Cricetulus griseus: one gene and its partner. The protein of the gene in region 2 binds, or shares a complex with, the protein of the main gene of each other region. Links are inferred from orthologs where the notes say so. Each region holds a gene or a part of one and is shown on either strand. Other genes may lie near its edges.

Region 1 (4,154 bases), on a different chromosome or scaffold from region 2:
TCACTTCGAGTGTGGCCTTGTTGAAGATTTCTTTGCTGACCTTCACCTCGGCTGGCCCGTACACTCCAGCCAGGACAGAGGTGTCACCTGGGGAGACATCAGCAGAGGCCTCTGCCACACCAACTCTCTTCTCTGCCTTCTCATCTGTAACTGGAGACTACTGCAGTCCTTCCCTCGAGGCACTTTTGTCAAGATCACATGACAGTGGCTCACAGAAGCAGTAAGCCCAGTCTCTCAGTGTCACACAACAAGATCAAATAAATACCCATTTTAAAAAGATACAGATACTTGAAACACAGGATGCTGGCCAGTGAGTCCAGAGCCCAGCCCAGACTTCAGCTACTGGTGAGTTTTTAGAAGCAGTTGGGGCTGGAGAGATAGCTCAGCAGGTCGGCACCCACACTGCTCTTCCAGAAGCCTAGAATGCAGTTCCCGGCACCCGCAGGCTGCTCATAATCACCTTGTAACTCAGCTCCAAGGTATGGACACCCTCTTCTGCCCTTCTTGGGCACCCGTACACACAGGCACACACACGTATATCCTCCCAGTGTCTGGGAGGCAGAGACGGGAGGGTCAGGAATTCAAGGTCATCCTTGGCTCCATACTGAGTTCGAGGCCACCCTGAACTACACAAGACTATCTCATAAACCAACCAAAAAGAAATCCATTGTTACATATAATTAATATATACTATTAAAAATATTTTAAAAGGCCTTACAAAAAACAAACAAAAAAGGGTCTGTAGTTGCGTTGGGTAGGGATCTTAATCTCTGCTCATTTTCCCAGAATGGCATAAATGGGTCTGGAGGAAAAAAAGCCTGGCTTCTAGCCCTGATTGCCTATTCCAGGCCCTTGTGTGATTTTGATAACCTCTGTGGGCTACAGAGAAGCCATCTACAAAGTGAAGACACTGCACTCAAACAGTGGTTTCCACATGATTTTGACCGTAATGCCCAATGACCAATACACTCTATACCACAACTCCAAACTGGTAAATGCATGTGTATAAGTGAATCACAGGTGGGCTGGAGAGATGGCTCAGCAATTAAGAGCACTTGTCGCTCTTGTAGAAGACGATTCACAAAGGTTTGTAACCACAGTTCCAGGGGACCCAACATACTCTTCCGACCTCCTCAGGCACCAGGGAGAGCCATAAAACAAACAAACAAACAAAAACAAAACAACAAAACCCAAGGGGTTAGGGATGCTAGCATGTGCAAAGTCCAAAGGGAAAAACAAAACAAAAAAACAAGATGGCTAGCCAACAAAGGCAGGTGACAGGCTCATGGGCTCTGTAGGTTTTCACTGTTGGATTTTCTGGGATCAGGCCCTAGACAGTCTAAGCTGGCCTTGAACCTGCTATGTAGCTGAGTGAACCTGGCCTTGCCTCTACCTCCCTGGGGAACGTACCCCATTTTTATGAATCCTGTTTTTAAGTGAAGATACTACGCTGGCTAGTTTTGTCAACTCAGCACAAGTTAGACAGATCTGAAAGGTGGGAATCTCAACTGAGGAACTGCCTCCATCAGACTGGCCTGTAGGGTAGTCTGCTGGGGCATCTTTTTTTTTTTTTTTTGGTTTTTCGAGACAGGGTTTCTCTGTGTAGCTTTGGAGGCTGTCCTGGAACTCGCTCTGGAGACCAGGCTGGCCTAGAACTCACAGAGATCCGCCTGCCTCTGCCTCTGCCTCCCAAGTGCTGGTATTTAAAGGTGTGCGGCACCAACGCCCGGCCCAATCTGTCTACTTTTGATAGCTCCTCACACTCCCACGACCTCTCAAAGCTGGCTGACCGGCATTGGGTGGAGGCAGGGTTGTGTGGGTGTCAGTCGTGAGACGCCTCTTTTCTCTCTACAATCACTTACACTGATGAGATGAATACACCAAGCAACAGACACATTTACTCAAATGATGGGATGGGAGAAGGGGAGATACCTGTGGGTCCAGAATGGGGATCATCACGTTCAATGTGAAGGGCATTCGCGTGGACCAAGTCATCTGCTGCTGTCACCGCACTTGACCCAGCGGCGATGACAAGTCCTTCTCAAAGGGAATGCATGCAAACGAACACCTTAGCCTCAACCGGAGGTGTACCGATCCAGGAGAAGTGTGTGGAAGGAAATCTAGTCAAGGGGCCTATTCGCCTTGGTGAAATTACACCTGTTCTGGAATATCCACTCTTCCTAGGGCGTGCTCTTGCCCCTGATTCCTTCCAGGCTGGACGTATCAAATATTTTTTTGGTTGTTTTTTCGAGTCGGGGAAGAGGTGTGGACCCCTCCTACGTATCTAGAAATAGTTTTTTCGTTTCTTTTCAAAGAGATGGGCGCACTCGGTTGCACACTACACGGTAACCGCTCTTCCAAAAAAAAAAAAAAAAAAAGAAAAGAAAACAAACCCCACCAGGCGTTGGTGGCGCTCGCCTTTAATCCCAGCACTCGGGAGGCAGAGGCAGGCGGATCTCTGTGAGTTCGAGGCCAGCCTGGTCTCCAGAGCGAGTGCCAGGATAGGCTCCAAAGCTACACAGAGAAACCCTGTCCCCCCCAAAATCCCAAAAACCAAGAAACCCAAGCCCCCCACAGTGGGGCTGGGGATCAGGCTCTTTTTACCTTGCAGGAAAGAAGCAGATCCATCCGGCCGGGACAGCAGGTTCTGTTCGCAGGCGAAATGCCGGAGGCTGCAGCCGGGACTCCGCGGGCCGGGCTCCGCGGCGGTGCCAGCGCCCAGCTCGGCGTCCGCACGCTTCGCGATCTCCATCGCCGCCGAGCACGCGCGCCCCGCCTGCGGCCGTAGCTTCCGCCCCCGTGGTGCGCACGCGCGCGCTGGCTCGCTCGCTCGCTCGCGGGCTCGCCGGCTCGCGGGCCCGGCTCGCAGCGGCTGCGTGGCCGCTGCGCATGCGCCAGCCTGGGCGGCGCCTGACTCGTCCCTGGCACGTGGCTGAGCGTTTACTAACAATCTGGTCCCGCCCCGCCTCCGCCTCCCGATTCTCGCAAAGCCATTGGGCCAGAAAGGAGAGGGGGCGGGTCTTGGAATAGGCCCACCTCGCCCAAGGCCCCCCGGCCCTCAACCCGTGAGCCTGTGGTCAGGGTGTCCCTTTCCTGCCTGATATCGGAGCCGCTATAAGCGGAAGGCTAGAGCCACGGCGGAGGATAATCAGAATCGGCACGCGCACTTAGGTTCGTGTCTTGGACTCACGGCGGTGGGAGTGAAGTCGCTTGTTGGCCCGACCGTGCCGGCATTTGAGGACGGCATCTGGTGGGGCAGCCCCGGGTCCAGCTGGGGAGAGAGGAGGCGTGGCTATCGAGCGAGATGGCGGCGGCGATGTGGAGACAGAGCCGGGGCCTGGCTGCTCTCCTGTCGCTGCGGCGGCCTGGGGCGCGGGGCTTGGCTAGATCCGTAAGTACCTGGGCCCCACGGGGTCCCTCCCGAGGTGGCTGCGGACGCAGAGGTTGCTCTTACGGTGTGTGCGGGTCGTGAAGGAAAGAAAAGGACGCGGACGCTCCTTGGAGAGAAGAGTCAGGGGAAGAGGGAGAAAACCGGGGGTGGGGTGGGCCAGGATCAGCCCCACGTTTCTTTATTCCGTTACTTAAAACTCCACTTGTGAAGCTGGGTGAGCAAGAAGCTGATTGGACCCCTGCGGTCCCCGATCAGAAGCGAAGGCGGGGGCCCGGGCGCGATCACTGTCACAGGCCATCGGGGTATGTTGGTTGATGTCATGAAGGGAGAAATCCACACAGGACCCTTTGTCAACGTTGTTTTTTAAAAATTATTCCTTTTTTTGTAGATTTTATTTATTATATATACAGCATTCTGCCTCCACATATGCCTGTTGCCAGAAGAGGGCACCAGATCTCATTACGGATGGCTGTGAGCCACCATGTGGTTGCTGGGAACTGAACTCGGGCCTCTGGAAGAGCAGTCGGTGCTCTTCACCTCTGAGCCATCTCTCTCCAGCCCATATTTTTTTTAAAAGATTTTATTTATTTATTATGTATACAATATTCTGCTTCCATGTATCTCTGCACACCAGAAGAGGGCATCAGATCTCATAATAGATGGCTATGAGCCACCATGTGGTTGCTGGGAACTGAACTCAGGACCTCTGGAAGAGCAGTCGGTCTCTCTCCAGCCCCTGTCAATGTTATTTTTTAAGGCAGGA
Region 2 (3,500 bases):
CTGAGACAGCAGTGCTGTGTTTGAGGTTAGCCTGGTACACAGTGAGTTCCAAGCCAGCCTGGGCTATCCTTAAAAAGAAAGACAATTGTGTCTAGCTTGCACCATGGGTCACAAGTTACAAAACCCAGAGTACTGTTCTGAGCTAAGGAGAAAGAGCAAAGCTTCAGCCAAGCCCTGGACATATGACCCAGAATTCAGACCCCTCTGGTCAGCTGGCAGCCCTGTAAGTCAGGATACACTGATGAGGTCTCCTTCCTGTAAGAAGCCTCTCATGGCCAGCTCATCCTCTGCAGATCTTCTCCTCTGAAACACACGGAAAAATGACCACATGACACAAGCCTCACTTTCAGGAGGAGCTCTTTCCATCCCTGCTTTTTGCTTGAGGTCTGTGTAGCCCACCATGGTATTTTAACATAAAGAACTATGACAAGAGGTAACCTCAACTGCTGGAGAACAAGGGAGGTGATACTAGCTCTCCAAGAGGGACCCTCCTAGGCTAACATCCAGACCCTCTACAGGTCACTGAGCCTGTTTCCCCACTTACCCTCACTTCCACCAGGCTGTGTGTCTGCTCACGTATCTCCCTTCATCTGAGTCCCAACCTCACTCCAACTCTCAGACCCCCAAGGGCCCTCCTATGAAACAACCCCTCTCTGCTCTCCATGTTTCTTTCTTTTCCTGCCTCCCCATGTGGTTCAGCTATCTCCTATCCTCCACCAATCTATAAGTTCTTTAAGGGACTCAGATGTGCCTTATTTATTCTGACACTCTCCATAGGATCCAGCTCACTGTCTAGAATAACCATGTGCATTCAAGTCACTGAAAACTAAGGATAAGTGGGGCTTAGTGGCACATGACTTTAATCCCAGCACTTGACAGGCAGAGGCAGGCAGATCTCTGTGAGTTAAAGGCCAGCCTGGTCTACAGAGTGAGTTCCAGGACAGCCAGGGTTACACAGAGAAACCCCGTCTGAACACCAACCTCCTGCCCACCCTCAAGAAAAGAAAAGAAAGCAAAGGCCAACATTTCACAGACACCTTCCCTGTGTAACCCACAAGAATGCCAACCCACCAAGAAAGGAAATTAGCACCAAGATTCAGGAGCCCCTCTCCCCAGCTCCATCTTGGGAGCCCACTCCACATGTGTTTCTGGTCTTACCAAACACTAGTTGCTGCCTATGTCAGGTGACCAGAGCCAGGAGAAAAAGCCTATGTTCACCAAGCTAGCAGACCCCATGACAAAACATTAACAGTGTAAACCGAGTTCTATGGTGGAACAAAAGCCCCACAGCTCAACTGGACAGTTCTAGGGCAGACAAGCACTCACCAGCTCCCCTCCGGGCAGGTTCATGGATGAGAGGAGCAAGACAGAATCCAGCCTGGAATTTGTCTCTACTTTCCACCTCTTCTGTTGAACCTGTAAGGAAAGAGTAAGGCAGCATCTCAGGGCACCTTCTTCATACAGCATTTCACAGAATGAAGGTCCCATCCCTGAGCCACCAGCCTCCTTCACTTTGTAAAACAGCAACTTTACCTCCGTGATTCTCCCCACTACAATGTCTCCTACTTCTCCATTGTATCTGCAAGAGAAAGCAGAAGGTTACCCAGTAGCCAGCAGGCTGACCAGACCAAGCACTATTTGAGGCTGAGTAAACAGATGGGACTTCAGAATCCCTGTGTATATACTTCATTCGTTTTCCTTAAAGAAACTGCTGCCGGGCATTGGTGGCTCACACCTTTAATCCCAACACTTGGGAGGCAGAGGCAGGCGGATCTCTGTGAGTTCAAGGGCAGCCTGGTCTCCAGAGCGAGTGCCAGGATAGGCTCCAAAGCTACACAGAGAAACCTTGTCTCGAAAAAACCAAAAGAAAAAAGAAAAAAAGAAATTACTCATTGCAAATCATTCCTTTAGACTGCAGTCCTAACTTTGCTTGATTATGTGACAAAAACACAAAGTACTTGCTTCTGAATAGGGGTGGGACAAGTTTATCACCACGCAATGGAGGGAAGGAGACACTGAAACACACTACCATCCATGGGGGCTCGAGCTGCCCTCTCCTCGATGCCTGCCTGGCTCAGGCACTTTGCTGGTCCCTCACCCTGATTCTGAGGATGAAGTGCTCTTTGCTAAAAGCCCAGGCATTAGAATAGGTCTCTTTCTACTCAAGCTCCCTCACAGTGAGCTCACCGAGTTTTAGTGGTGAGAGGCAGGGGCTCGTCCATACTCCCGGCTCTTGGGAGAGAGCGTCATGAAGCTATCCAGTATCAGTAGCCACACAAATGGCTCGTGAACACTTCTAAAAGTAACTAACCCAAAACAAAGACTGCCGGCATCGGCTTCCCCTTCTCCACAGCAAACCACTCTCCCATTGATGCCAGGTCAGTAAGTGCTTGCACACACACACACACACACACACACACACACACACACACACACACACACACACACACACACACACACACACACACACACACACACACACACACACACACACACACACACACACACACACACACACACACACACACACACACACACACACACACACACACACACACACACACACACACACACACACACACACCACACACACACACACACACACACACACACACACACACACACACACACACACACACACACACACACACACACACACACACACACACACACACACACACACACACACACACACACACACACACACACACACACACACACAACACACACACACACACACACACACACACACACACACACACACACACACACACACACACACACACACACACACACACCACACACACACACACACACACACACACACACACACACACACACACACACACACACACACACACACACACACACACACACACACACACACACACACACACACACACACACACACACACACACACACACACACACACACACACACACACACACACACACACACACACACACACACACACACACACACACACACACACACACACACACACACACACACACACACACACACACACACACACACACACACACACACACACACACACACACACACACACACACACACACACACACACACACACACACACACACACACACACACACACACACACACACACACACACACACACACACACACACACACACACACACACACACACACACACACACACACACACACACACACACACACACACACACACACACACACACACACACACACACACACACACACACACACACACACACACACACACACACACACACACACACACACACACACACACACACACACACACACACACACACACACACACACACACACACACACACACACACACACACACACACACACACACACACACACACACACACACACACACACACACACACACACACACACACACACACACACACACACACACACACACACACACACACACACACACACACACACACACACACACACACACACACACACACACACA

Evidence for each region. The genes of interacting proteins can lie anywhere in the genome.
Region 1: Exosc2 (region 2) and Exosc5 share a complex: the UniProt entries of both Homo sapiens proteins name them as parts of the RNA exosome core complex. The link is inferred for Cricetulus griseus from reciprocal best matches to the Homo sapiens genes EXOSC2 and EXOSC5.

The regions. Positions count from the first base shown.
Region 1 is NC_048602.1:9,460,904-9,465,057, forward strand, and holds the start of Exosc5 (exosome complex component RRP46), read right to left. Parts: upstream 2,801-4,154; 5' UTR 2,753-2,800; coding exon 2,605-2,752; intron 88-2,604; coding exon 1-87. Other genes in the region: Bckdha (2-oxoisovalerate dehydrogenase subunit alpha, mitochondrial), read left to right, coding at 3,305-3,391. UniProt on the Homo sapiens protein: Non-catalytic component of the RNA exosome complex which has 3'->5' exoribonuclease activity and participates in a multitude of cellular RNA processing and degradation events.
Region 2 is NC_048599.1:143,396,339-143,399,838, reverse strand, and holds part of Exosc2 (exosome complex component RRP4), read right to left. Parts: intron 1,580-3,500; coding exon 1,534-1,579; intron 1,417-1,533; coding exon 1,327-1,416; intron 304-1,326; coding exon 238-303; intron 1-237. UniProt on the Homo sapiens protein: Non-catalytic component of the RNA exosome complex which has 3'->5' exoribonuclease activity and participates in a multitude of cellular RNA processing and degradation events.